Oreochromis niloticus: one gene and its partners. The protein of the gene in region 2 binds, or shares a complex with, the protein of the main gene of each other region. Links are inferred from orthologs where the notes say so. Each region holds a gene or a part of one and is shown on either strand. Other genes may lie near its edges. The genes, in order: stx18, stx4, vti1b and sybl1.

Evidence for each region.
Region 1: stx4 (region 2) and stx18 share a complex: the UniProt entries of both Homo sapiens proteins name them as parts of the SNARE complex. The link is inferred for Oreochromis niloticus from reciprocal best matches to the Homo sapiens genes STX4 and STX18.
Region 3: stx4 (region 2) and vti1b share a complex: the UniProt entries of both Homo sapiens proteins name them as parts of the SNARE complex. The link is inferred for Oreochromis niloticus from reciprocal best matches to the Homo sapiens genes STX4 and VTI1B.
Region 4: stx4 (region 2) and sybl1 share a complex: the UniProt entries of both Homo sapiens proteins name them as parts of the SNARE complex. The link is inferred for Oreochromis niloticus from reciprocal best matches to the Homo sapiens genes STX4 and VAMP7.

Annotation. Positions count from the first base shown.
Region 1 is NC_031970.2:27,530,393-27,538,343, forward strand, and holds the start of stx18 (syntaxin-18), read left to right. Parts: upstream 1-4,938; 5' UTR 4,939-5,012; coding exon 5,013-5,165; intron 5,166-7,951. UniProt on the Homo sapiens protein: Syntaxin that may be involved in targeting and fusion of Golgi-derived retrograde transport vesicles with the ER.
Region 2 is NC_031973.2:5,168,055-5,175,895, reverse strand, and holds the start of stx4 (syntaxin-4), read right to left. Parts: upstream 3,001-7,841; 5' UTR 2,818-3,000; coding exon 2,788-2,817; intron 2,436-2,787; coding exon 2,343-2,435; intron 76-2,342; coding exon 1-75. UniProt on the Homo sapiens protein: Plasma membrane t-SNARE that mediates docking of transport vesicles. Necessary for the translocation of SLC2A4 from intracellular vesicles to the plasma membrane.
Region 3 is NC_031983.2:21,977,730-21,985,081, reverse strand, and holds the start of vti1b (vesicle transport through interaction with t-SNAREs homolog 1B), read left to right. Parts: upstream 1-4,337; 5' UTR 4,338-4,494; coding exon 4,495-4,591; intron 4,592-4,689; coding exon 4,690-4,748; intron 4,749-5,678; coding exon 5,679-5,873; intron 5,874-6,446; coding exon 6,447-6,620; intron 6,621-7,220; coding exon 7,221-7,282; intron 7,283-7,352. Other genes in the region: rdh12 (retinol dehydrogenase 12), read right to left, coding at 1,145-1,263, 1,845-1,921. UniProt on the Homo sapiens protein: V-SNARE that mediates vesicle transport pathways through interactions with t-SNAREs on the target membrane. These interactions are proposed to mediate aspects of the specificity of vesicle trafficking and to promote fusion of the lipid bilayers.
Region 4 is NC_031966.2:31,859,133-31,866,673, reverse strand, and holds the start of sybl1 (vesicle-associated membrane protein 7), read right to left. Parts: upstream 3,005-7,541; 5' UTR 2,989-3,004; intron 2,724-2,988; coding exon of another isoform or gene 2,685-2,723; exon of another isoform or gene 2,607-2,684; intron 2,164-2,606; exon of another isoform or gene 1,975-2,163; intron 1,606-1,974; exon of another isoform or gene 1,564-1,605; 5' UTR 1,531-1,563; coding exon 1,385-1,530; intron 1,192-1,384; coding exon 1,134-1,191; intron 864-1,133; coding exon 726-863; intron 584-725; coding exon 493-583; intron 204-492; coding exon 136-203; intron 1-135. Other genes in the region: polr1d (DNA-directed RNA polymerases I and III subunit RPAC2), read left to right, coding at 3,531-3,623, 4,455-4,552, 4,968-5,044. UniProt on the Homo sapiens protein: Involved in the targeting and/or fusion of transport vesicles to their target membrane during transport of proteins from the early endosome to the lysosome. Required for heterotypic fusion of late endosomes with lysosomes and homotypic lysosomal fusion.

The DNA of each region.
Region 1 (7,951 bases), on a different chromosome or scaffold from region 2:
CTTATTCACAGAAACATGCTACTGACCTCTCAGCTTTCCTGCTTTCATTCATTGTAAACAGGAGACGGACACGCCCTCAGAGACACAGACGACTACACTTTTCTGTGAGACTGAAATAAGCACACCTTACTGCAACAATAGTCGACTGCAGCAACAAGATGGCTGTAATGTGAAGGCTGAATGCTCATATTAATTGACAAGTAAGTAGCTCTATAAAAGCACTGTCGGAGGTTAAAGGGGGGATTGCTTCATTTTGGTATGATTTAATTTATGTATATTTTTAGATTTGATAAGGCAAGCACTGCTTACCTTGCTTGCCCTGAAAGAACACCACTGTGTTTTCTGATTATTGTTCTGCTGCATAACACAAGTTCGTTTGAGCTTCAGGGCACAAACAATCCTTCAGGATTTTCTTATAGAGAGCAGAATTCATGGTTCATGGGATGATGATCTTACTATAAAATGCTGTGTTCAAACCACTCAAACCATCCAAAAAAAAGTTCAAATTTTGTCAGTCCACCGAATATTTTCCCAAAGGTCTTGATAATCTTAGAGATGCTTTTTTTTTTTCCTTTTTTCACAAATGTGAGACGAGCTTTTGTGTTTGTGTTGTGTGAAAGTCTCTTTCTTATTGTTGAACCCTGACCTTAACTATGGCAAGTGAGGGTTTTTTTTCCTGGATGAGCTGTTGATGTTCTCTTGGAGTAATTTTAGCAGGCTGGCCACTCCTGGGAAGGTTCAACACTGTCCTAAGTTTTCTTGATTTGTGGATAATGGCTTTAACTGGGGTTTGCTGGAGTCCCAAAGACTTGGAAATTGCTTTGTAAAACTTTCCAGACTGACAGATGCCAATGACTTTAAAATATGGCATGATGTGCTGCTCTTTGAAATCTCTTAGCTTCCTTTACTTTGTCAGACAGGTTTTATTTAAGTGATTTCTTGATTCAACAGGTCTGGCAGTAATCAAGCCTGGGTGTGTTTAGTGAAACTGAACTTGTTTGTGTTCCAAAAAATTGTGGTTAATCACAGTTAATTTATAATTTAACAAGGGGCCAATTACTTTTTCACACAAGGCCAGGATAAGTTTGGATAGCTTTTTTCCCCCTTAACAAATCATCATTTAAAAACTGCATTTTGTATTTTCTCAGATTATCTTTGTCAAATGTTAACATTTGTTTGATGAAACTGAAACATCTAAGTTTGACAAATGCAAAAACAAAACTCAGAACTCACAAAGGAGGTAAATACTTTTTCATGCCACTCTAATAAGCTAGAAGTGATAACTAAACAGCTGGGAATGCTAATAGAAAAAAACAGCTTGATATACTGCATCCAGTTTATGACTTTTAGCATATTCCCTTAAAGTGAAGGGTAGCTCATCAATAAGCTCTATTAAAGCTCAGACCCGCTACACTAGAGAGCAAATTTAATTACAGAAAGAATGGCTTTTTGCACTTAAAGGACCACATAGTGGATCTATGAAAGAAAATATGCTCCTGAAACTTCATTCAGTCACCTTTTTCTTCTAGCTTAGTAAAGTGTGATGCGTACCGTAGTGAAAATTCAGCGATCGGTTAGATTTCTTGCAGCACATTTTGGCATCTTAAAGGCAATCATTCCTTTGTGCGTGCCCATGCACACCATGCTTCAAGACATACACTCTTACTAAAGTCAAAACTATAAGAATTTTAAATGCTGAGACTGCAGAAAGGGTGAGACAGTCGCAGCACTCAGCTGTAAAACAGTCTGGCACAACACTAACAAAGGAAATGAGCAAACCACATAGCAAATAACAGACTTTTATTCAACACTCTAAGCCCAACTGCTTATATCTGAGTGCCAATCCCAGTCACTTGCAAATAAACAGATTTATGAGAAATAGTACACACAAATTGCTACATTTGTCTAGACAGGACATTATTCTAGCTTTACTTATACTGGCAAGATTAGGCTGGAGTTTTATGAATATGTATATTTGTATATGTCAAATCTTGACAGTCTCCAAATTTGCACTTAAGAGTGAATTAGGTGACTCAGCAAATAAACTACATTTCTAACAGAAGAAGAAAGAGACAAATTTTGCCTCCTACAAAGAAAAGCCGAATGTGAAAATAACTGAAATTCAGTATTTATTTGGGATAACTCATTCCCTGCAAAAATATTTAAATATTACATAAAATTTTCTTTATGTGGCCATTTAATCATCCGTCTTCTTCTGTTTATCTAATCCAGGGTTACAAGAGGTCTTGGATCTGTGCTACCAGAAGGCAAAAGGCAGGGTACACAGTGCAAGTCTCTTGCAGGGCTAACACAGAGGGAAAACCATTTGTGCTCATTCACACCTGTGGAAAGAGTTAGAATGACCAATTACCCTAACACATGCATGTCTGTAGGAGGAAACTGGAGTACCTGGAGAGAACCCATAGTAACATACTGTAGGGAGAACATACACACTGCACACAGAAAGTCTCCAGCCAGCTAGTGGATTCAAACCCAGGCTCTTCTTGCTGTAACGTGACAGTGCTAAAACACTGTGCCACTTCACCAAAAAGCACTATATTGCTGTTTTCACTATATTGCTCCCAAGTACTACATCCATCCATCCAATTTCTTCTGCTTATCCAATTCAAGTCCACAGACGGGCTGGAACCTACCCCAGCTGTCATAGGGTGTGAGGCAGAGTACAGGCTGGCTGGAGAGGTCGCCAGTCTGTCACAGGGCTAACCGGGAGAGCCAGACAATCATTCACATTCATATGTACAGGCAATTTAGATCCACCCCCCATTCTTTTACTATAACTACTGTTGATCAGTAACTGCAACATGGATTATCTTTAAAATCTAAAACTTCATGTCCATTCCAAAAAAACAAATAACACAAGCTTAAATGCAGTCTTGAATGGAAAGTTTAAAGTAAATACAGTATCTTTCAGGAGATTTTTAGTGATAACAAGCGCTCTGAGTTAACGTGTTGATTTTCTTTTTACACGACAAATTGCGTAATCAGGAGGAAAAGCAAAGCTATTATGCATCTTAGCCTCCAGTAATTACACTGATGTACTTTAATATAAACAGACAACAAAATTCTACCACACTGCATTAACTGGGGTTTTTTTGTTTGTTTGTTTGTTTTGACTGTACTGACAATCACTCATTATTGTGGCAGTTACAATACAATACCAAAATATAATCATTAGAACAACAGACAGAAGTTCTGGCATGAATATTAGTTTTGATTAGCACCAACATGCAGCCATCATCTGTCAGTATAAACATCAAAACATTTCCTTATTCATCACATTGCTACCAGGTAGAGGGAGTGTAGAAAAACTGCACTGCACAGCTCAGAAATTGCACAGTCTCTGAGCACAAGTCTCCACAAAGACATTGAAAACCATCCAACAAATCCCACACAGCATAAATCAGCCCATTGGTAGGAACACGGGTTGCATTCATAGGTGGCAGAAAACTCGGAAATAAGTTGAATGTGTGTATTTTAAAAATGCACTGGCATATAAATATTCTTATAGCTCACCAGGTCAGGAGGTATCTTACACCTCCTTAGTGAGGTGGAACAAAACTAGTGTCTTCCTTCAGACTAAATATTTCGTATCGTTTCACAGAAAAAACCACACATTTAAAATGATAAACTGTATAGTTTAATTTGTTGATTGTGCGGTGTGCTGGTGATAGAGAAGTAAAATGAGAAGTATCCAGATGTTCACTAGAGTCGGTAATGTCAGTAGCATGTGGCGTTCTCAACAGCACCGTCAGTGATTTAGCTACATTACTAAATGCCATCTTTGGTTCTGCTGCAGAGATTCGTATATTCGTATATGTGGGGAGCTGTCACTGTGTCAGCTGCTTCTTGTTTGGGAATCTTTCATCTATTGTGGGAATATTTTCATCTCTAACACAGCATGAATAAAAACTTTTATCCATTAATTTATCTGATAAATGTTATTTTAAATTTTAAATGAATGGGCAATCTTTCAGAAAACCTTCAGTAAATAATCCCCAAAACTCGTTCTGATTTGATAAACTAAGAGTTTCCATCAGCTGTGGGGCTAAAGAGTCGTATCTCTCTTGTTGTAGCACGTCTCAGAGGTTCATTACAGAAATAACTGTTCGGGTCTCTGTAATGAACTGCTCAATGGACAGGCTTTTATCTGTTAACAAAGAATCATTGCTTGCATTATTTATTGATAAATATAGCAAGTTGATTAAATCATTCATGCATACTCCCTACTTTGTCTCTCTATGTTTAAATGCTTTTTCCTTGTTTTTCACTATCCTATAAATTTTGCTTCAACACGTTGATTTTCCTCACCTTTACCTCTGTGTATTTCTGTCGTTTGATCTCCTCCCTTGTATTTGCAATCAGATTTTCCCATTTTTGTTGCACTCTGAAACTGTACAATGGACCTGTGGGATGGCAGCATTTATGGTTTGGACTGTCGTTTCCCAGACTTGTCCCTTGTATTCTCCAGTGTTATATTTTCTTCTGACTGTTTCTCTTCTCCTGCATTCTGCTGGACATCACTTCAAGAGCCTTTAGAGGCAATTATCTAATGGAGATACACACAGATTGATTATCTGTGATGGATTATCTGTTATACTGGTGCTCCCTAAAACATGCCTAAAACAAAGCTGAAATTTTGATTCGTGGCACATACAGGTAAAGGCTTCAAGTTAATGCTTTCAGACTCAAGGTTTCAGTTAAAATATTAAGAGATTTTTTTAAAATTAAAGATATTTAAAGATTTTCCCTATAAGAGTTGATTCTAAGCGACCAGTATTTAAATATACGATCGGACTCTGGCAGAATTCAATTATTATGATCTGAATATTAGTTATAATAAATAAATACTGATGAAATCTTTAAGGTGAAACGTAACGCTTTCGTACCCGTATTACAGGAAAAATCTAGCGCGTCCCACGAAGATGACGTCCTCACCGGGTGACGTGTCAGTTTGTTTACAGCGGTGAGCAGTCGGCTGCAGCTGCTCAGACATGGCTGTTGATATCACGCTACTTTTCAAAGCCAGCGTTAAGACGGTCAAAACCAGGAACAAAGCCATAGGAATTGGCTTCGACTCGACCAAAGATGAAATTTTCAAGAGAAGCAGACCGAAGAGTGGCTTCTCACCGAGGGCGAAAGAAGTGGTGAGTGTTCATCCAGCCTAGCGTTAGCTAACTCTGCTAGCACAGTGGCCAAAGTGCTTTACGTTTAATGGCAGCTTCTAAACTTACTACTACTTTGTAGGAGCAACAGCAGCCAGTGGAACATATACAGTGCATATACGATGCTTACCACTTGTATTTTCTTTAGTGTGTTGGCGCTGTTCGTGGTTAGCCGGGCCTGTCAACATGTGCAGGCTATAACTTTGCTAAATGCAGTATGAACTTAAATTTGATTAGATTTTTAAAAATTTACATTGAATATATGCAAATTATATTCAAAATGTGTCATAGATTACATAATATTATGATATGTTGAGATTTAAAATATATAGGATTTGATTATTGCTCTTTTTGACTAATACGATAAGTGGCCAGTTAATCGTTTGTTGACGGCTTTGATGATCTGTACTGAGAGTAGGGAGCAGGTGAAATAGAGCCTGGAGATGTGCAGGTATGCTTTGAGAGAAGATGAAAGTCAGTAGAAGCAAGACAGAATACATGTGTGTGAATGAGAGGGAGACAGGTGTAACAGTGAAGCTGCAAGGAGCAGAGGTACTGAAGTTTGATTACTTTAGGTATCTGGGGTCAACCATCCAAAGCAATGGATAGTGCATAAGAGGTGTGAAAAAGAGTTTGCAGGCAGGGTGAAGAAGGTTGATGCAATATCAGGGGTGATTTGTTAGAGAAGGATAGCACCAAGAGGGAAAGGGAAGGTTTGCAAGACTAGACCTACTATGATGTATGGCTTGGAGGTGGTGGCACTGACAAAAACGACCGGAGGCCGAACTGAAGATGTTAAGACTTCTTAAGACTTAAGACTTCACTGGGAGTCACCAGGTTAGACGAAATTAGAAACAAACACATCAGAGTGCAAGAGAAATACTCACCTTATGCCATTTCCTGTATATACTTTGGTAATCTACAGGTAACTTTTACAGATGAGAAACCTTGTTCACATTGAACTTTTATTTAGTATTTTGTAGCCAGGCGTTAAGAATACAATATTCACTCATTAAAGTTATCTGGGGATGCCCAGGCTTACTACGTGTGCTCAACTGTGTTTTACAATTCCTGGTTATTATTATAATAACTGCATTTGTTGGAGTATGCAGTTATTATAAGTGCATACTCCACTTCATGAAAAACAGTCTTGGCACAGATTGATAGATGTGGGCAACGCAGGGAGAGAAATAAGCCAGAAATGTTGTTTCATAGCTGCTGGTGTGCAGTCTCCCAGTCTGTATTCTCATATCTGACCAAATTATCATGAAAAAAAATCACTCAAGGACAAAATTGTCACATCAATAGCCTTCCTATAGATTAATCAATAAAAGCTAAAAGTAAAAAAAAACAAAAAACACTTTTTATAGCATTGAACTCAGTGAAGCCTCTTCTTTTCATCAGAACAGTTCATTTATATTGCAGTTTAATTGTAAATTGTGCAATTTATTTTCCACAACACAAAGCCTGCAACTGATATTCAGAAAAAGTTTTACACGCTTGGATCAGCAGTTTATATTTTTTTCAGAAACCATATAAATATGAACAGCTACACGACTGAAGAAGTATGTTTTTCTTTTCTTCCTTTCTTAGTTTTCTGGCAATACCCAGTTAAAATGACCTTGGTCTCACTGAAAAATTCTAGCTTTTTAATACACTGTCAGTAATGGAATTTTGACTTCATCTCCTCTAATACTGTAATAATATCAATTTATTTGTAGGATTTCACATAAGACTAAATATATTGGGGAAAAACAGCTTTGGATCTCATTTTATGAAACATCTTAAATGATCTTTTTCCACTGAAATACAGACCTATCCTCTATGGTTGACGGTACAAGATCTAGCAGTGTACATGTTGCTTATACTTCTACTGCTGCTCTTTGGCCTGACATGAATATCTCAAAAACAAACCTCTTCAAAGGTACCTTGAAGAACCACTTTACGTATCCCAAGGGGAGTCAGGGCTTTAAGTTGTACCCGATGTCTCCAGCCATCAGCCCGAGGCAAACATAAGCCCATTTGCTGCAGCTTTGCACAACCAGGTTTTTGTTATGTTCTGTTACATTGATATTACAAATGGTGGTTTAATAAAGGCACTGCTGCTTATTCAAGAGAAACCCAAACCTATCCTGTGGTGGCTGTCTCCTTCGCGTTGCAGATATCATCTCCGACCATCTCAGTGAAGCCGTTTTTGCCTAAATTGAAAATGTGAGCTTGGAATGTCCTGACTGCTTACAGTTATGTCGCGGTTTTCACCCACGTCTCCCCAGCTCAGCTATCCTTTTCTGTCTCTATTCAGCATCACATAGGCAGTAATTTTTATGCAGGTCGCCTCTTCCCATGTATGATTCCGTAAACATGCTGCAATAACATTTTCTTTCGGCTCTCAAACAATTTCTGGGGAAAGCTGATCCTCCCAAGAGCCAGTGATTAAAGGTGGAAGATCAAAACAGAGAAAATATTAAATTAGGTCCCCAGTAACAATGTTGACGGCCGGCACCTAATGCACAACAGATGTGGGTGCCCTTCAAGACATGCATAACTCTCCCACTAACTCTCCCTCCTAAATTCCCATTGAAGCTTCGCAAAAATAGAAAGAAAACATCAAAGTTGACAAATACACAGTGGACCTCTGAGACTTTTTTCTTTTTCCACTCAAAAGTCAACACAATGAGAAAGGAAATGTAGCTACTTTCAAGTCGATTCAAAAAGGGTTTGATTGACTAATAAGAGGGCCAGTGTTTGCAGGGTGGGGTTTGGTAAGG
Region 2 (7,841 bases):
CACAGTTTTCTGTTTGTTCTCGAGGTCAGACACCATCCTTTTGAGTTGCTGGAGCCCCTCGTGAATTTCTTGGACCTGACGATGACAGGGAAAGAATTTTAGGTTTCTTAGGGAACAAAAGAACTATTTTGTTAGCTCAATTTAACTCATATATCAAGCAAACATCATCCTATTCCCTCTGTCGGTCCTTATAGCTAAATGGGTGCAGCTGCCTCTGCTTACTATGAAGGAATGCCAACATAGGTAAGCTTTCTTTGCGTTAGCTGGCTCAATAACACCTAAAGTCCCCCATCAGAGACAATAATGGGTATCACACAGGCTTTCTGCTTCAGGCTCTGACTGCACTCACAAAACAAAGCAATACTGGTGCAGCAAATAATTCAGAGAAGCAGTGCTACAGAAAATTGTTTGTTTTGTGAATTCATGAATTAATATACCATCACATGAAAAAAAGTCCACTTCACGATTCAGCAGCTTGTAGAAAAACCTTTAGCACCCATAACTTGAGGTAATCATTTTCTTGTTTGGAAGCAATTCAACACTGTTTCAGGTCATTGAGGTTAGCAGACATTTGCTTATGCACAGCTCTATTAAAGTCATACCAGTCCTGTAAAGTAATGCATGAATAAATCTGCAGCGTAACCAGATCCCCTCTTAACCCTACGCCGTAACCTGACGTGCACCTCTCAAGAAATATAACTACATGCTGGGTCGATGCAGCCCACAACACGTGGAAGGTTATGGCGTAGGGTTAAGAGGAGGTTCCAGTTATGTCACAAGTTATGACGTAGTTTTCCCACGCATTTGATTAGCAGCACCTGGCTGCTACTTACCCTCTTATTTTCTGCCGAAGCAATAAAGGTTTTTGACGCGACGGCTGCAAGTTAAAGCTGTGAAATTTTAAACTTGATTCATCATAATATTCAGTGAATTCAGGACTAACAATGGACCATGGCTCGATGACAAAGGTGTGGAAACCACTTCAGTCTGTGGCCAAATCAAAGTCAACATTTTAAGACGCCAGCTACAAATTTTGACTTATGGATGGAAAAAGAAAAAAGTTCTTCAGTGAGCGAGCTTCCATGATTGCACCCTGTTTACACTGCTGCTCAGCTTTCCTCAGCATGAAAAACATAACCATACGTACAACATATTCTCAATCAGTGAAAACACGGCATTTCCAGACGATTTTTAACCAAAACACTGAACATAACCTTCTGCAGACCAGGTCATGTGTTCAGTCCAAGTTACTATAGTGATCCAGCCAAGTAAAAAGCCACCTTCATGACAGTTGAAACTGACTTCAGGCTCAGTATGGCTCACTAACCAATTAATCTGCCTTATAACTAGACTATTCATGTTAGTTGAACAACTGCTGATTTTTTTTTTTTTTTAAATAAAACACTTGCATACAGCACCGTTAACCCACTTATTTACGCAGTACAGTTTAAACTGCTCTGACTCCACATCTATTTAACCTGACACTGGATGTCCAGCCTCTGTGGCTCCCTGCCCTTACGTCCTTGTGTCCTCTCCCCAGATAACCTTGGTCCTTATCCTCCAGCTTCTCTCCTCCTGTTGGTGAATGGTGTCACTAACATAAACGTCTTTCTAAAAATTTATAGTGGCAAGAAGGTCAAGTGGATCAGGCTCAGAGGTCTCCTACTTTCCATGTTTTTGCTTTGGACCAAAAAAACCCAAAAAACAATTTCTATCCACGGGCCATCAGGCTGAATCACTGATGAACTGTCGAACATTAATTATTCATAATTGTACATTTGCAATTTTGTAGATTTATATTAACCTGTAAACTGTGTTTTGCTTGTAAACTTTTTGAATCTTGAAATATGAGAATATCTAAGGCATTCCTGAAATATTAGTCACACTTTTTGGACCTTTAAAATACTTTCTAGGGGGAGTTTTCCATACCAAGAATAAGACTCCAAGGACAAAAGGGTGAATATGCATAAAATGAGCAGTTTCTTCAAACCATTTTAAATCAAAACCAAAAAATATTCAAACATATTATTACAGAGGCCTAAGATCAGCGCAGAGAATAGTCACATTTTGTGATATTAGGTGACTAACTCTGGTTCCTTACTCATGACAGTTCGGGTACAAGGAGACTGGGATTTAGCAGACTATGATTTGTTGACAAAACAGGCTAAGAAGCATCAGCAGCAGTCTGTGATATTTAAGCCTCTGCAGTGCATTTTTGTCTCTCTTTTACACAAATGTGATATTCAGAAATGTGCGCAAACTACCACAGTGAATGAGGACAGTGCAGATCATTTGATTTTGGGGGATTTTCCAGGGAGAAGTGCGTGATTTTTCTGCCTTACCTTTTTGAAAAAGGCATCATTTTCCTTCTCTGAGCCTCCAGATTTGCTCATCAGCGCTTTGCCCTCCTCATCGTCATCCGAAGCCTCTGCGGTCTGAAGTCACATTGATTTTAAATAACATAAACAGAAGAAAAACAGTGAGTGCTTTCTCGCTGTCCGAGGATGTGAATCATGAGCCCTGCAGCCCTGCCCTGTCCCGGCCTGCCCTATCCTTTAAGGAGAAAGGACTGAAACGGAAGTTGGAAGTGAAACGTCAATAAAGTCAACTTTTATAAAGAGAAATATCTGCAAAAAAAATCCCACTTTAACCACTTTTTTGATTCCCTCTGCTGGTCTAAGTTGTCCCTGGAGACTCTTTGGTTAACTCGGGTAAAGTAGTGAACTGGGCTAACTTAGCCACGCTAGCAAGCTAGGGCTAATGTTAGCAGTTTACTTTGAAACTCACATTTCCTAATTCTTTGGTCCGGTCCCTCATTTTTCCAAAAGCGAAGGGAAGAAATCAAAAGTAAAAAAACGCTGCACTGAAATAAAGCGAGCCGCTCCCAAAGCGTAATATCCGCAAACTTCACGCCGCCGCTGTCATTCAACTAGTAAACTCCAGCGGCAGCGCCTCTTCTTCTGCGGCCCACTCAACACTCAACTCATCGACTCACTGGCGCCCCCTGTCATAGCAGGAGGAACTGCTGAAAGACTCCAAACGTAGGCTTCCTTTCTTCCCAAATACTCACTACGTAGAATAATCTAGGCATATAAAGATAAATATGTGCGAATATTTATATAGATCAATAAACATATATTGTCCAGATATAGTAGGGATATAAGGGTCGTGACTTTAGGATATTAAGATTAAGGAGGCACAGAAAAAGAAAGAAGAGAATAGATAATTTAGTGGACAAGTGAAGGAAAAGAGGAAAAAATAAACAGGAAAAGCAAACAAAGACGAACAACAATATTTTGGTCATGGGTGTTGTAATGTAATAACATGCAATTGTAGACTTTACAGAAAACAGACCTCAGAACTTATTACAAATTTTAAAATTAAGCCAGTTTTATAGGGCCAGTAATATTGCTCACTTACTCTTGTACTTGCAGATGCTGTTGATATGTCGACATAAGATCTAATGTTATGTTCACTCACTTGTTCTGTACCACCTAGGCACCAAAAGTTACATGTAGGTCATATTGTGGCAGCATTATAAACAGCGTGACTAAATTAAATTTAGAAACACTGATTTGTTCCAATCGGCCTGTAACTACTGTTTAATAGTTTCTACTGACTGGAGAACAGCCGTTGCCTGAGGAATCAAAATCTTTTCCTATAAAAAAAATAGATGAAAAAAGACATTACACACAGAGGCAGAAACAATTCAGTCCATAGTTTGCTTGTTTAAATGCCTAAAAAATTCAGATTTTGCTATAAGTGATGAATTTACAGGTGCAGTCCAAGCAAGTTGAAAGTAAAACCGTCTAAAATCTGCTGTCTCCTGCGTTGGCATGAAAAGTGCAGCCTCTGAATCTGAAGAGTGCTTTCATTCAGATCCAAATTATGTGAAGGTAACTGCACTAGAACAAGAAAATCCTGCTTTACAAATCCTGAAAGACGTTTGAAACTGATCCCTGCTGAAAGTCGGGAGTTACAACATTTTAGTTTAGGTCACAACTCTAATATCTGCTGAAAATCAAGAACTGAAATCTTGGAACAGCCTGCTAGAGCACCAAAATTGGAGTCTGCTGCAGCTCCATGACCACAGTAGACAGTGACCCTCCAAGAGTCTGCAGTGGTGCTTAAACTACCTGCTGGAAACATCTACACAGCCTATGGCACCAACACTGAAGCCCACTGTCTGCAGAAACACCACACGTTCTCCAAACTACTCCACCTCTTCACCCTGAGCTGAGTGACATCACAGTGAAAGAACCACAGGCTGCTTTAGAGCCTGTAAACACGAGCAGTGAATGTTATGTTTCTGAGAACTTCGAATTCAGTCAGACATTGGGCAATGAGGCAGAACAGATAACGGCCCTAGAGGAAAAGCATGCTGCCTTAGTCTTGGAGATAGAGCAGTTGAAAAGGACTGCGTAAAACTCAAAGAGATAAGGCAGAAAAAGCAAGGGTATTTCTTTAAGTAGAAGTTTACAAGAAAGGGGAAGTTGCACACAAATGTTTCCCAAAAAATTGGATCAACTAAAAACAGCTCTCAGCATTTAAAGAGAAAAGAAAAAGAATACTGAGAAATTCTCAGCACTAAGAGGAAACTAACAAACTCCAGGCAGAACTGGCCCAATGTTATGGAAAAATTCTAGTTTATCCTTACATGTAGATTTAGCTGGTTAGAACTTCACTGTATGATTTTGTATAACCTTTGAATGCTCAGATGAAGTATGTGTATGTGTCAGCATGACCTTGTGAAAACTGCTTAGCTTTGCTTAACGATGTTTCACTATGTTATCTGCTAACTGTTTTGCTCAGAAGGATGAAACTCAGGGCCAGCGCCAGGAGCTTCCTGGGAAAAGATAGTGGGAGTTGTCCCCTGTCCAGCCACAGCCCGTGGGACAGAAACCTATTGTAACTAAAAGATACACAGAGTTGTGTGTGGGGGGTATAAAAGAGAAGCTGAGACATCCCAAGGGGAAGAGCTGGCATGACTGTGAACTGTGATGCTAAATGTGTGTTGGCTCTCCTGCGCGCAGTAATAAATAGCTTGATCACAGCTCTTTCCGTGTTGCAGGCTTTACTTACAAAATTCTACAACACCCAACACCAAAGAAACCTTCAAGAACAAAGATCCCTGTGGGAGGAGGACAGGCTCATAGCTGTGCACTGATCAGGACGAGGGCGGCATCTGTAGGAACCTTGAAGCAGAAAGTGAGAGACTGACTCATGATTTGATGAACAGAGTAATGAAGTTTCAGTAATCAAAAAATAATCAGGAAGAAATTCTGCTGGATTTTTAAAAGAACACAAATGATTGCCTTAACTTGACCTCCGCCCCAACAATGAAACTTGTTTATGTTAAGTCAAATTGTAGAGCACTGCTTTCACATTAATTTATCATAAAATCTTAAAACAACTCATAAAATTAAACATTGCTATATCAATAAACCAACTGCGATCATGCAGATGCATTGTTAAGATATGGTTGTTAAACTGAATGAGTTAAATAATCTGCAGCAGCTGGTTCTTTGAGCTGCAGGACTGCTGGTTGTCCACAGGGTGGCACAATCTCCTAACCTAAACACAAATGTTACAGGAAAGCTTTAGTCCAGTGTCTCAAGCTCACCTTTATATATTATTGTCTATTGGAACAATGCAAACATGGAGAAGGACTGAAAATATGGAATTGGTGGAATGTTACTATGCCAGCTGACACAATAAAAAAGGTTATGTGCAGCACATGTGGGATCAGTAGAAAACCAACATCCACAATGAGCTAGAAGGACCTGGCAGCTCAGTGCAATAACATCAGCAGAAGATGGTTACTGTTGAAGCTGGAGATCCAGAGGTTACAGCACACTGGGAACAATGGTGAGCAGTATGGACATAAGGATGAAAGAGACCGGAGGTGGTTGCCAGGACCAAAGTTGCAGGGGGTCCAAAGGTTCCCTCTAGACTATTGGACAGCATACACCAGGGTGGGCAACTCCAGGTCTCAAGGGTTGGTGTCCTGCAGGTTTTAGATGTGTCCTTGATCCAACACATTTGATTTAAATGTCTAAATTACCTCCTCAACATGTCTTGAAGTTCTCCAGAGGCCTGGAAATGAACTAATCATTTGATTCAGGTGTGTTGACGCAGGGTGAGATCTAAAACCTGCAGGACACTGACCCTTGAGGCCTGAAGTTGCCCACCCCTGGCGTACACAGACAGACCCAAACGAGTGACTGGGATAGAACATCTGTGCTGCTTATGTACCGTTAGGAGACACCACCATCAGTGGTTGAGAAGAACTGGGCTAAGGTACTGTAGGACCCTCTGGGAGTTTGAAGGTTCTGCACAGCATCTGAGGTATATGTAAGACTGCACTCTTCTGAATACCTCTGATATGGTGCCTGAAATCTGCTGGAGCTGCTCTCCCAGTTTTGGGGTTACAACTCCTAATGCTCCGATTACTGGGAGCACTGGGACCACTTTGTACTTTACCTTCCTTCTACTCCAGATGTTCCTTCAGCCCTTGGTACAACGTTGTTGTCAAGCTTGTGCTGGATAGTGTATTGACGACATTAACGACTTTGGAACAGTAGTGTCAGCGTTCGAATCTAAGTCAGACATACATCAGCTGCTACCCAAGGAAACGTTCATTAATTTAAAAAAATATAATGATAACTCTATCTTTCTTAAAAATGGCGAGAACAATAGCCACAATGATCAATATTCATTAGAAATAAATGTATCTTTGGCAAATCCAGGAAAACTATAGATGCTTGTCATGGATGTTTGGACATCCTCTGTCAGCATGTTTCAGTCTCGCTGTCTTGCAACTCAGTACGTCCTGGTAAAAGGGCTAAAGTTGCACTCTGGAAAGCTCTCCTGTCTCGATCCTTATTACCTTAAATATAAAAGAAATCAATATACTGCAGCTTTAGATGCAAAAATTAGATTCAGTTCAATTCAGTTCAGAAAAGAAATAAGTGGCTCAGATATTACACCTTAGAATGAACCCAATTTAGCATTGTATGTCTTTAAGGGCGTCCTATTATACTCATTCCTGTCTGCTCTGCTAAAGTAGCTCCGCATGATTAACAGATCTTATTTTAGAGCACGATGTAACTTAAAATAAGCCTTTTGCCTCCTTCCTTTAAGCCAGTGGGTCTCTAATTTTGGTGTGTGGAGAAACGTACAGGTGGAACATGGACACGGGTCCATGAGGTGAAGCTAAGCTGAATGAATATGACTTTTATTTTCAAGAAATTATTTTTTCACAGACTCAGACAAAAGTTTGAGAACCACAAGAGTAGAAAAAGATGTCTAGTGTTTAGAGCGGTCTGAAGCCTGGGATCTGGCTCTGGGATTACTTATTCATAGGTCCTCTGGAACTCATTGCACTCTGTAAAGTCCTCCCATGGGTCTGATTGGACCCTTCGGCAACTCATTTCTGTCCCCCAAGCCACATTTTTGTCATCCCTGCTTTTATCAGTGTGTGTCAGGCTTGGAAGAACACTCAGCCAATGAACTATCCAACATTAACATTATCTTTGTTCCTTGAATTTTTAGTAAAGTTGTCCATTCCTGATACTTGCACAGAAAATGTGACTGTAAAACTAAAAACATTTGATGTATTATTGTTCACAGACACACAGGAAAGGCAGAGATGAGATCATTTCATAAAGAGTATATGCTCACAGAATTCTCAACAACGTCCTTATTTAAGACTTTTATCTTGATTTGAACACATCAAATGCTGAAACAACACCATTAATGAGCTCCCCAGAGCTGCTACAACTGATAGAGTTTTATCTCTCTTATTGTCTTTCTTTCACTCACACATATCTCTGAGGTCA
Region 3 (7,352 bases), on a different chromosome or scaffold from region 2:
GTATATGTGTGAACTTCTGTATGTAAATAAGAATGTGTGTGCGTGTGTGTGTGTGTGTGTGTGTGTGTGTCCTCCTCCTGACCAAAGAGGGTCATAAAAGCAGGAGCAACATCCTTGGTCATAAAGAGGGTAGTCTCCCCCACACCCAATGTATTGTTTACCATAGATAACAAAGTGAAACCATACAAAGGGCAAGAAGTTTTACCAAACATCAAAAAGACCTTCACAAGGATGTTGCCTGTAATAAAAGACTACAGCCCCCCACTCAGAACCTCGAGAATCTGGGGGAAGGACAGAAGAATCCTTTCATCACAGAGTTAAAACAATGTAGAGATGGTAAGCATAAAAATGACAACATTTAACAATCCACTCTAACATAAAGTGCCATGGAAAAAGTATTTTCCCCTTCCTGATTCCGTAGATTTTTTTGCATATTTGTCACGCTTAAATATCATCAAAAAAGCTTTTAAATTATTATATAATTTATTAAGGGGGGAAAAAAGCAATTTAAACTGACCTGACCCAGTGTGAAAAAAAATGATTGTTCAGTTCAGAACTAAAGAAGCCTCTTCACAAACTTTAAAGAAATGCAGTTGCCTTCTATCTCAAATTATTAAGATTTTAATGGCACTGTGAGTCATCATCAGCGACAAACCTAGTCCTAATCCTGTGCTTTCAGAATATGTAAATGTTTTTTATGTATTTCTTTAACATTTTGTAAAGCTTATTCCCCTGAGTATTTGGAATGAGGTGAGAAAAAAACGAATCATTCTAATCGACATGCATCAATCCCTTTCACTCGCACCTAATACATGAAGTTAGGGTTGAAGCTACGGTTGGAGGTCATGACCCACTCATAGGATTGAATTGTTTTTTTCTTAACGAAACCAAAATAAAACTTTATACCTTTTCCAAACCCAGACTGATGGCATATTGACCATATTATAATCATACAACAAGTCAAGTATTTATGTGACTACATTTAAAGCGAGGATTTCCTTGAGACCACAACAGCTAATTGTGTCACACCATGGTCCATTTTATTATGTATATTTTAAATGGGACAAGGACGCTGATTTCAGTCTTATTGCTTTAAGAGACTGCTGATTTCTCTCAGTAGCAGGTTATGGATTTAAAGAGGCACCTCGCATTGCCAGATCCAGGGCAGTCTCCTTCCCAATTCCTGTGTTGGCTCCAGTGATGAGGACCGTCTTCCCATCAAGACGAGTTGTGGACTTGCACACTCCTCCTGCTGCATATTTTCTGCACACAAACAAGACTGATTTATACTACACAAATTCTGCATCATCAAATGCAGCAGACAGCTCCATTTAAATGACTAGGAGCTCCTTCTGCAGTCTCTACATGCTATGCCCCCGTTAAAGCTGGCATTGTGGTGAAACCGGGTTAATTATTCACACAAAAACTTGGATAGTGAAGTGTGCAAGTGGTGCGAAACACACGCCAGTGAGCAGTGCCGCCACATAACCAATAGCTCTCTTGGAGTGTTGCATGCATATATAACTCCTCCCACGCTCCGGCTGCTGATAGGCCCGAGCAGCTCAGACGGAAGACACCCGGTTCATCTGTGCAAGAAAAAAAAACACCCTCCCACAGCTCAATTTTTCTATTTCATTGATCAGCAGCCTCATGTGAAATCACCATTAACGTAAAGCATTCACAAATAACGATCATGTGGCTTCATTAATCAAACTGATCCTCATCGTAATAACTACAACACACCACCTAAATGTCTTGTTAACCAAGTAATAACCTGCCCTGACATCCAGTGTTAAACTCTGCGTTTAAATTCTAATGACTGAGCGCGTGAAGTGGGCGCTTACCTTATTTGTGGTGCAAATAAAATCACCAGCAGCGTCACCACTCCGAGGCCCGCGATAATTAATAAAAGGAACATCATGCTATGGATCTGCGCTCCTCTGCCTCTTCCAGCAGGATGCTACCGAAGTGTAGGCGGAACAGCTGATGTCAAAGCAGGAATGGGGGTGCGAGCTGCAAACGGATGGGGTGAAGGTTGAACCATGCACAGGATCATGGGATTGTAGTTCGATGCGTGACAAGACGGCTACTGGAGACGTTACGTAACAGGGTACACCGAGTTTGCAGCTGGGCGCAGTGGTTTTAAAGTGAAATGTCATAAAAAAGAAATTAACCAAATTTAGTTAAGAAATTATTAACAACAAAAAGACAAAGACAGAGTCACTTGTTTCAAATGTTTCAAATTTTTTGGTAAATGTAATTCATCTGCCCCGTCTTAAGCACACACAGAAAGTCAGTTGAATTATATTTTAGCCATTTAACAGCAGTAAAAATCCCCTATAGGTCATTTTTTAAGCTGGAAGCTTAATGAAATTTGCTAAAATACAGAAAAATTGAGGCTGCTCTGGGTCAAATTTTACCCACATCTATTCAAATCGATTTTAGATTCACCACTCTGGGTCAGCTCAAGGAAAATTGCGGTTTTATGCAACTGTAGATGGCATCTTTGTGTAATTACCTCTTTGTGGTGCTGGACTTTAAAGGGGACCTTCAAATAAAATGCAAAACAATGATGCATTGTAATAACACAACACAGTAACTTAAAGTGGAGTTTTTTAAAAGTGGAAGAAAGGTATGAGCAAAAAAAATGAATAACTTAATAAATAAATAAAAGAATGAGTGAATGTTTATTGCACATTATCATTGTTATTATTATTGTTGTTGTTGTTGTTATTGCTGCCCCCCCCCAGGAAAAAAAAAAAAAAAGTCCAGCGAGGTAGCAAATTTGGTCAGCTGGTAGCATTGCTTAGGGCTATTGCCCTGTTGTAAAAGCTGTTCTTGAGTCCGTTTTGTCCATGACTTCAGCAGCCTGAAGAGGATGTCCAGTGATTTTTTGGGAGACATTAATGACCCTCTGAAGTGCCTTTTTGTGTGCCATGGTGCAGTTGGAGAACCATACAGAGATACAGTATGTCAGCACACTTTCAATGGAGCAACAGTAGAAGACAATCAGCAGTTCCCTCTTCAGGTCCAATTTTCTGAGGATTCTTAGAAAATGGAGACACTGTTGGGCCTTCTTTACAACCGCCGAAGTGTTTGAGCTCCATTGGGAGTCTGTGTCTATGTGCACACCCAGGAACTTTAAACTTTGTGTTTTAAAGGTATCCTGGCCTCCTCCTAAAGACCTGGATGTCAGGTTAACTAGTGATTCTAAACTGGCTATGTGAGATAGCACTAGAAGTGTTTAGTGTTATTCTTACCTAACTGAGATTAAAACGCAAATCAACACAGGGGTTGGTGGGGTTATAAGACTGTAAAGGCACCTAGGTTGCCATTTCAGCAAATGTGGGAAACACTTGTCCCACTCATGCAAAGTCTTCTACCACCGTGCCTAACACAGACTTGTTAGTGTGTGCCTAACACTTACAGAATAAAACAAGCAAGTTTTATGCTCTAAGTGTTTGTTAATATTCAATTAATATTGATAAATATAAAGGAAATCTTATTTTTCGGTCTGCTCCTCCCTTTAAGGGTCACCAGAGTGGATCATCTGCCACCATCTCACCCTATCCCCTGTTCCTCTTCTGTCACACCTGCCCTCTGCATGAACCTGTTCTTTGGTCTTTCTTGTTTCCTCCTGCCTCACAGACCTCGCAGGACTGTGTCCAAACCATACACCATAGCAGGTGTCTCTACCATCTTGTAAACCTTTATGAGGATGTTTTTATGACATAGTAGTGAGGGCAGTGTTAAACAGTTGTATTTGTTATACAAGAATATATATAATAAGTCCCAACAGGTCCTTAATGTGCCATTTTAACTTTCAATAAGATACATTGTAATTATTTTGACAGTGATGTTTTGATGTCTTAGGTAAAAACAACACAAAACAAAACAAAAAACATGAAATAATACTCTCCCCCTGCTCTCTGAAACATTAATACATGATTAATCACCCATTTAGACAGGCTATTTATACATTCAAAATAGATCTGTACTTTAAAATTCGTTATAGACACTTACTATGTGGATATTCCTCCATCTTCAACGAGGGGAACTCTGAATCCATGTAGTTTCAATAACCGAATAAACAAACATTTCCCAAGTAGCCCGGTTTAAAAACTACATTTCCCAGAAAGCCCCATTAACGTTGTCTCTGTAGCGCCTGAATGAAATAATTGTTAAATAATTATCCAGGTGATTTTAAAACACGCTTTCCACAACATTTCACTATTTTGTTTTAAATTCCTACACAATTGTGTTTGTAAAATATTTTTTCAATTTCATATCTAGTAAAAATAATTACATTTTAGTACGTTTGATTTTTGTTCCGGAGTTACGACGGTCGGTCGAAAACCATCCGGAAGAATCCCGAGGATCTGATTATAGTCCTAGCAAAACTACATACTTAAACTTGTGATCATAAACAGTGTTGTATTTTACAATAAAAGACAAAAATAATATCACAAGAAAGGAATTTAAACGACACGCAAAATGTCGTCGGAGGAATTCGAGAAGTTGCACGAAATGTACCGATCGTTGTACGAGGAGCTGAAGCTGATGCCAGACAAGGCTCAGAAATCTCACGGAGGTAAATACTTGCTCATAAAGCCGAGATTAGCAAAATAACTACGCCTTGGAATATAAGTTATGTGCTTTTAAGTAACACTTGTACTGTCACTCCTGCAGAGGAGAGGAAGAGGCTGGTGAGGACCTTTGATGAGAGACATGGGGAGGCTGAAGAAGTGGTGAGCTGTTTATCTTTTTCCCATTACAGCTAGCTAAAGTTCACTTGACTACTAGCTATGTCTTTTGCATGTAAATACACTTTTTTTCTTAAATTGAGGTTGAAATTAACTTTTTAAGAAATTTACCACCAGAGAAATAGTGAATTATCAAAATAATACATGCATTTGTTGTGCAAATAACACTTGTTCAATACAAAATGGAAACCTAGTGTACATTTTACCCCAAAAAAGGCATTTTTCTCTTGCCCAGTCTTTTTGGTAACCACAATGCATTTCAAGTAAAACAGTGAAGTTTAAAGAGAAAAAAAAACAACTTTTTTTTTTTTTCATTTTGTTGACACAAATCTTTTATAACTGTTATTCCATTGTTTAACATCAACATATTTTAAATAGTTATTTAAGAATTATGCACTCCAAATTGTGTCCTACAACATATGTGCAAACCTGTTACCAACACCTGTTTAACCTGGAAAAGAACGAGACAGTGAGTGACATGACAAAGATGCAGTGACATGATTGAGTCTTGTGCTAGCACCAGGGTTGGATATTTGCTTATACATTTTTGGGGGGGTTTTCTCCAAGCTTTTTTGACTAGATTGAATGTGTCACTCTCACCAAAGCGACCTTATTACCTATATTATCAAAATCTGAGGGATGTTTCTAATATGTTAGCCATCAAGTTTATAAGAATAAAACCAAAATAAAAGAAGCTCTCAATAAATTTAGTTAACAGCTCTCTGTAGTATGGTAAGTATGCCCTATTTTAATAGATTTTTAACTGTACATTAATTCAAACGGCACTGAAATGTTCTGATTTACGGAGGTTAAGCCTAAACTAGTGAATACATTAATAATATATCCTTGTTTCTATGGAGTAAGATCCTTTTTTGTCTTTTTCTCAAACAATAACATTTTCTTGTCTTTCTCCAGTTACAAGGAATGGAAGAGGAGCTGCGCGTTGCCCCTCTGTCCTATCGAAATTCAATGAGCACAAAACTGCGTATGTACCGGCGAGACCTCGGCAAGCTTCAGAGGGACATGAAAAACTCAGCACCTGGCTTTGGCTCCTCGTACAACACAGTGCAAGGAAATCATGGCATCTACTCTTCACAAAATCAGCACAGTGTGAGTGAGGGGCTTTGGGATGCTTGGGTTTGCTGTTGCAGATGTGTGACAGGCCCTGTCCCTAGTCTGTTTGGATGCACAAAACATTATTTTATGATGTTGCTGTTATGTCAGGCTGCATGTGTAGGGTAAGACTTTTTCTGGGTGTGTATTTTTTTTCTTCCTCTTTTTGCTGAGGAATATCAGTGTGCTGTAACATAAGAAAAAAATACAAATAGGAGACGCACAAATCAAGAAAACATCTTCATCAGTTTGACACAAAATCCTCTCAACTTATAAGGGCTTATTTTTGAGCAGCACTTACAGATCCAGACTGTATTATTTGACAGAGGATAACAACATTCATACTGCAGTTAGAAAATAATGACAAATTAAAAGCAAGAACTGTTTAAATTAAATAAAATGTAAGAGAAAAATGTCAACCCTGGTTCCTAGTGATCCTTGTGGATCTTATTAAAGCCATGCATTGGAATTGTAGAAGTTGTCATGACAGCAAAATGTCTATGTAAGTGTATTTCCAGAATAAATCTGCTTAAACTTGGTTTCATTTGTCGCTTTTCCCCATCTTTGTAGACGCACCTGCAGTCCCAGAGAGCGTTGCTTCTTCAGGGTACGGATGCTCTAAATAACGCCAGCCAGAGTATTGAACGCAGCCAGCGCATCGCTGCTGAGACAGAGCAAATTGGCACAGATATCATCGAGGAGTTGGGAGAACAGAGGGAACAGCTGGATCGAACCAGAAACAGAGTGAGCTGAGAATCATTATTACGCTTGTATTCTTGTACTGTGCTGTGCAAAAGTCTTTAGCCACCTGTGATGTCTATATGTCACTGACCTATGAATCGTTTAAGCTTAAAAAGGCACCTAAATCAAATGATGAACCAGTATTGATGTGTCTACACGTGACAGACAACTTATCACAAAAACACATTATTAGTTTCAAATTTTTTAGTCAAATATATGAAAAATGCCAAATATAACACAGTTCAACAGGCATAAAATACTATTTTTTGGACTAAAAATGTGATTTCCAAAAAGCTACTAGCTGTCAGCCTGACATATCTCTCTATCCTGTGCAGTCCTTAAAAATTTTAACCTAACTAAAACTTTAAATATTAACTTTCAAGCTCATTAGCATTTTAAATAAAAACTCTGTTTTTACCTTATGTGCTGTATTTTCATGCATGTTTGCACATTTCAATAAATCGTTGCATATATTTCCTATTTTCCTACCAAACTATAAAGAAATGAATAGTTGCTCAAGACTTTGGCACAGTACTGTAGGATGACGATATGATCTGAGATTAGTAGGTTTGTTGAAACTCTTCTGTCTTGTTGTTTTTGTAGCTTGCGAATACTGGAGAGAATCTGAGTCGTAGTAGAAAAATTCTTCGTGCAATGTCGAGGCGGTAAGTGCACCCTACAAGACGTCTTACACCACAGTAGTTCCTTCGTTTTTTTAATGCAAATTAAATATAT
Region 4 (7,541 bases), on a different chromosome or scaffold from region 2:
GAAGGAAAAAAATGTAATCAGTAACAATATTTGTTGTTTAATAGACTGCAGTTGCAGTATATACATAATGACAAATGTCATTCATCAGAAAATAAGTAGAAGCAACAGAGCCTAATCAGTTGTAGTTAAACTCACTGCATCAACCAGGTTTTCTGTCTTGTCAATCAGCAGCTCCAGCTTTTCTCCTCTCTGAGCTACCAAGTCTGTAAAAAAATGAATGCAAACAGTGAATTTAGTGTGAATACACATAATACAATACATATGAGTAATTCACTAAACACAGCACATCATGCATTGTAAGTGAGGTGGTCGCTCATGATACAACACTGCACTCATTTAAGGGCGAAAGTCACACCACACACCAGTCACACATTACAGGTTTTATCTAACTTGGTTTATTAGAGTTTAAGTTAAGGTTTTTCCATCTCAGAGCCTTGTTTATTTATTTATTTATGAATAAATACAAAATGAGGAAATTGAAGAGACGCTCACCTATGTTGCGGACCATGATGCCCTTCAGGTCGTCCACTTGCATCTGAGTCTCAGTGACACGATCGGGTCCACGTGGATCTGAGTGGTGTTTCTGCAAAGAAAAGGAACACGTCACACTTCTTCACATCTTCTTCTGTTTCCTTTTTTTTCTTTTAAACCACAGAAATATTAAGACATCACAGAGCTGTCACAGGAAACATTGCTTGGTATGTTCAGGCTTTCATCATACACACCATTTGAGCTGCCAGTGTAGAGGAGAACTCGCTGTTCATGGCGTAAGGTAGGGCTGTTTGTGCTCGTGAGCCATATGTTGTCTGGAAACGCTTCTTCACTTCACTGAGGAAGGTGAATGCACGTGACCTCTCAAAGTCCTTTAGAAGATAAGAGTCAAATAGGTTTATAAGAAGTTGCATATAATCAATTGTGGCTGCCTCAAAACCTATCTCATCTTTAGCAACAGCAGTAATGCTAGGTTTTCTACAATAACACAGGACATGTGTCCATTTCCTACAGTGGCTGGGTGGTTTATATTTATTTTTATACTAATTCAGGTTTTTAAAATACATTCATAACATCTACAAATGGCCTACTGCAAATCCAAACCCCTGACAAAAATATATGACTGTCAAATATATACTTACGTCATCCGTGATGCACAGGTATATGATTCTGTCATGGCAGATGTAATGAAACAGATAGCTAGAAATAAAGCAGAAGGGTTAATCGTTAGATGAGAGGTGTTTTATACAGTAGGGCTGTTTTTCCTACAGTTTTTACAAGGAATGAACTCTGTGGTACTTTATCACATGACACCGCCGTAGGCACAGTCACAAACAGGATGTAAACTGCCAACTGGAGATGACACAGGCCGCACACACGCACACGCCCTTACCTGCCATGGCTGTATGTCAGTTTGTTGTTCTCTGAGGGAATTTTAGCTAAAATCTGCTCAGTAACTTCCAGGAAGTTACCCCCACACCATGCATGCTTGGCAAGAATAGTGGTTCCTCGAGCCACCACAGCAAACAGGATTGCCATGGCAACAGCTGGGTTTTCACCTTTATTACCTCCCTGGAGGTAGAAGGACAAGGAAGGCGAGTTGTTACTGCTGGGCTGGGGGGTAAACCCAAACGATAATGATTAGGGAAGAATAATTCTTGTGAAACAGCCAAAAATAGTTACAGATAACAGGAAGAAGGAAATAAAATGACATGTGAATAGGTGTAACTAAGAAATCCAATTACTGCCATTAGTACGCCCTAGGAAAATGCCCAATCATGAGCAGGCTGTCATGCTAGAGTAAAATGCCAGCTAATACTAGATGAACCAAAATTTGGGAAACAACAAGATAGCTAACACTGTTGTTGACCATTAAACGTACATATCAGCGTCAGAAAGGTAGTTAGCCGCTTGACGCCATGTTGGTTGTTTTTAGCTACCGAGCTAACGTACGTAATAGTCACATAACATCATATTCATTACCTGGATGTCTCAACGACGATTAAAGTGGCTCATTTAGCGCAAATTCCCACATTTAAAGACGTTTCAGCTGCTAGTTGGCTAATCCCTTTCGAGTGACTTCTGCCTGCTAAGCAAATCGTCCAGACCGGAAACACGTTCAAGCGCGTGCCGGGGAGTGTAGTTCGTACCGCATTTCTGGCTCTATGTACTTAACGTCGTTGTTTCCCTTTTGGAACTACATTTTTCTTTTTACCCCCAGTTACATATTACGTAGTTCCATCGTCACGTCTTCGTATAAACGACTTGTTATAGAAGGGGCGCGAATTTCGCCCTGTTAGAGTCTTCCAGGCGACTTGAACGCTAGATAACGCTTTCCCCTGCAGATAGAGATGTGACAAAACTTACCATTGTTAATTGCTCAACAGGTTAGCTTTTATTGAAATAAATATTTATCAGGTAAATATTAAAAATATTAAAAATATTAAAAATATAATATTTGTCAAACGACGCGTTTGACAAATATTCTACCAACCACAGAGCTGCGTCACTTTAAATGAAAATTATTATCTGATAATTTGATAGTGTATGGCTACAATCATACATATGTTACCAAAACATTGAGGTAAATTTCAGTCGTATTGAACTTTCCTTTGCCTGTCAAACCAGATTCAGGGCTAAAGAGCACAGTACTTAACCTTACTCTGTTGACGGATGCGGTGGGAAAGTGAAGCATGGCCGGGGAAGGAGAAAAGAAAGCAGTACTAGAAATGGTAAAAAGCGAAAATCGTGTGTGGTTTGATGGTGTGCGCGGTTGGATGGGTTCGTCTTTATTTTTTCTAGATCGGATTGATTAACCAAAAAAGCGAATGGCAGCGATTTGACCGCCTGTGCGCTCCTCACGTGGGTAGCTACAGTGGCTAGCAGTAAATAAACTTAACCGGCGTTAATCTAACTTAAGTATACGCTAAAATCTGTCTTTTTGAAGCATTACCAGCACCGGAGACAAACAGTAATTTGGAACATGAGGGTACCTACTTGTTTAATTTAGATGCGGATTTTTCTCAGTCCACGGGTACCTAACAGTATCTCCAGTAGGGGGCAGTAGTTAAACAGTGTTCATATCCTATGAAGATAAACGCCATAAGTATTTGGAAAGTGATGCATTTTTCTGAATTTTCCTACCTCAGATGATGTGAAATAAAGATACCAATTAAAAATGAAATATGAAGCTTCAGGTTTAATTCAAGTGGGTTTAAAAGTATTGCTTTAACTACCTTGGAAGGGGATACTATGATAAGAGGGGAAGGACCTCATCATCTTTTGAGCATGGTGAAGACAGTGTTGTTGCATGGGCATGTGTGGATGCCGGTATAACTGGATCATTGGTTTTTATTGATGATGTGAGTGCTGATAGAAGGAGCAGGATGAACTGTGAAGCGTACAGGGAGTACTCTCTGCTCAGATTCAGCCAAAGTGCTTTAGAACTGATAAGACGGTGCTTTCCAGTGCCATAACCCAAAACACAGACAGAAAGGAATCCAAGAGTTTCCTAAAGCAAAGACATGAAATGTTCCTGAATGGTCAAATCAGAGCTCAGCCCAGCAGAGCATGGTTTTCAGTTACTGATGAAGACAAAACTGAAAGCAGAGAGGGCCACAAACAAACAGCAGGTAAAGACGAACGCAGTGAAGGCCTGCATGCCTTCGCAGCTGTAAAAGTGTGGGTTGTCGTATAAAAATGGCTGCAATTCTTTGATGGTTTTCCATAAAGAAAACAAAAACTTGAAAATAATGAAGTTAGTGTTTGTACATTTAAAAAAAGACTCCTAAGAGCTAAAAAGTTCAGGCTTCATATTACTCTAAACAACAAACTATTGTTTCTCCTGTTGAGAGTGGATATCCCTAACATGGACAAGTCAGGCACTTTAAATAAGCTCTAGCTGCTCCAGTGCAGATCTTCACTTTGTGAATGGTGGCCAATCAGATGAAGGCTGGCCTAAAAGAAGGAGGAACGGGGGTAAAATTGTGTGTTGTAGATGTTTGATAAAGTTTATGAGGCCTGAGTTTAAAAAAAGGCCTGGTTTAAAAATGAGAAAATTTTATGTGACCCAAACAAAGAGTCCAGTGAGCAAAATATGGAGCTGGAAAAGTGCACAGTAGGTCCACTTTTGGTGTTAAAACACTTGAATTAAAGCTCCAAGTCACATCTTGATTTTTCTTTTTTTCTCTCTTAAATTTCACATCCACTGTGCTGGCGTACAGAGGCAAAAAAATCAAATAAAATCATGTCCTTTCTCAAATACTCTTGGACCCAACTGTGCATGTAATCAGTGTCTGTTTTTATTTGCATCTGTAACTCTGTATGTTTTGAATATTTTGGAAGTGCATAATGAGCGTGAGCGGCTCGCCCACTCACTAATCTCAGAGGAGGAAGCTGGTGTAATGTTTCTCTTCCATGTTGGCTGTGCGATGTTTAAAGAATGGGCTTTTTTTGCATTCTAGGTCCAGGCCGACGGGGCAGATGAGGGCTGTGTGACTTTTGTGCTGCACGACGAGGACCATACGTTAGGGAACTCCCTCAGATACATGATCATGAAGAAGTGAGCGTTTTTGTGTTGGTTTTTTCCCCCTTTGAACTCAGCATGGTCACCGTCGTGTTTTCTTTTTTCTTTTTATATTTCAAATCGCTTCCCACACATGTGGCTTATTTGACGTTCAAAGTGAAGCTTGATGGCTGTTATCTGTAGTAAGACTCCAGCTAGAAGGGACTTTCCTCGCTTTCCAGCTCATAGACAATTATATGATAATCATTTTATTTTATGACAGTGTTATCAAAAGGAAGCATGTGATTTCTCCCTCTTCCCTGTTTTGGGGGCTCTCTTGTCATCCTGCCAGGAGAGGGTCTGCTAATGTAAAAAAATGTAGTCATTACCAGTCTTTTTTTTTTTTTTTGAGCAAAACTCTGAGAATGCTCGCAAACCTCACCTTCATTTCCCCGCTTTTCTCTTTTGCCAGCGCGGATGTGGAGTTTTGCGGCTACACCATCACCCATCCGTCAGAGAGCAAGATCAACTTTCGCATTCAGACACGAGGTGAGAGACGTCTCTGTTAATACGCACCGCTCCGTCAAGGCTGTGTTTATTGAGAATAAAGGGTTTTGGCCAGTGTTGCAAGGTAAAAAGGCTGATCAGGATATACTGCAAATAATAACACACACGCGCCCTAAGTTTGAGAGCTATAACCACTTGCACGGTTGCAAAAAAAAAAAAAATCTGTCACCCGCTTTCACAAAAGATAAGAGCAGCCCTGTCACATGAAAGGACTCAGCGAGACTGAGAAAACAGCTTGTTTTTGTTGTTGAACCAAGTTTCTGGTTGCCTGGAGGTTTCTTTTTTTCTTCACGGCTTCAATACAGCTAAACCCGATTACCTTCGAGGCACAAGGAGAAATAAAAAAATACTCACTACACTTTTGGGCATCAGATCGGCCTTTGAAATGATCTGTATTTATTTTGGTCGTTAAATTTCTCCACCAAGACCGCAATCACAACGCTGGATTGAGGTCATCCGTGTCAGTTGATAAAAGGGGGCCAGGAGGACCGCAGCATTCTTTTCATTTGTTTTTTAATGCCACATCTTTTTTTGGTTAATCGCTTAGATTATCAAAACAAGATAGTCAAGCGCAGCGACATTAAAAATTGACAGCTTGGTTTCAACAGCAGCCAACAAAAGCAAGCATATTCAGTTAACGATCACTGACACAATCCTGAATTGTTTCTTTTTTTTTTTTGCACTTGCACAGACGCTCATGAGGAACATTCATTTCCCATATCCCGGTTTTGTGTCGCTCTATATTTAGTTTAGCATAAGAAAAAGGGAAATATTCTTTTAACCAGGCCTCAGTTCAGTTTTTCCTTTGTCTTTTTCAGTCGGGCGTTCTATTCATGTCTTAATGTAATTTTATGTAAAGCTGTCCATGTATTAGTTCCCACTTTCACTATTTCTATTCCAGATTTTGGCACACGTACACAGGGGGGAGTAATTATTAAATCTCCAGCTGAATATACAAACTTTTTAACAAAGAAATAAACTGCCTCTAATTTTATGGCAGTTTTATTTAAATGGAAAGACACAGAATATCAACCAAACATCCAGAAAAGAACGCATTACATGAAAGTTATGAGTTGATTTGCTTGTGTTTGAGTGAAAAAATATTTTATCGCCAAGAAAAACGTGACTTGGATCCATCTTCAGTGTTCTGGCTGAGGGAAGGAATTTTATGGTACGTAGCTTCGCCCACTCATTGCAGTGAAGTCGTCCTGTGCCTTTACCAGAAAAACAGCCCCAAATCATAGTTTTTCCACCTCCTTGACTGTGCGGATGGTGTTCTTTGGGTCAAACTCAGCATTTCTCTTCTTTTAAAACACAAGCCAGAGAGTTAGTTGTTTGTTTCATCTGAACGCAGGCGTTTCTCCCAAACCTTCTCTGAATCATTTAAATGTTCACTGGCAAACTAAAGACAGGCCTTCTTGAGCAGGGAGAGCTTGTGGGTGCTGCAAGATTTCAATCCGTTACTACGTAGTGTGTTACCACTTGGTGTACTTGGGGTCTGTGATCCCAGCTGCCATAAGGTCATTGAGAAGCTTTAGTTTGGGGCTTATCCATCGTCTTTCTTGTCCTCACCCATGAGGTAAGATCTTGCATGGAGATTCAAACTGAGGGCGAGTGATGGTCATTTTATATTCTCCATTTGTGAATAATTGCACCTTCTCACCAAGCTTGTTCTTGAGGAGGTTGGAATGGAATAAAATTGAAAATATGTGTTTTATACACGGATTAAGATCAAGACATCTGTAATTGATTGATTGCAGCCAGAATTATGGCTGGGTTGTACCGAGTCAGATTAGGACCGCAGCTAACGATTATTTCAGTAGCCGAGTATTCCTTTGATTAATCCAAATCAAAGGAATCAGTTAAAAATAAATAAACATTTTAAAAATGTTTTCTTTTTTATCTTTAAAGTCACATCCTACACATGTGGCTTATTTGATGTACAAAGGGTATGAGTGAAGCTTGATGGCTGTTATCTGTAGTAAGACTCCAGCTAGAAGGGACTTTCCTCGCTTTCCAGCTCATAGACAATAATATGATAATCATTTTATTTTATGACAGTGTTATCAAACGGAAGCATGTGATTTGTCTCTCTTTAAAACCCCAACAGGTGTTTTAATATGAACTGCTCATTGCTTTTAGTAGTTTAAGTGCAAACTATATCTGTCAAAAATTACACACTGGCTCTCTTAGATTAGCAGGAAGAGTTCTGACAGTATTGTATCACCTGGATGAGCTAGATTTAGTTTGTGTGTGTGTGTGTGTGTGTGTGTGTGCATGTTTACGTGTGCTGGTGAACAAGTGAGTACGTGTGACTGGAATGAGGACAAGCGAGCATGTCAGCAATCTCTGTGACAGCGTTTTAGGGCTTCAACGATTCATCGAGTAACTAGATTCTAAAAAAAAAAATCCTCAACACAGATTTGTTTACTTCAATGCTTCGTTCAATGTGCAACTCTGTAACGATCACATGTCACAG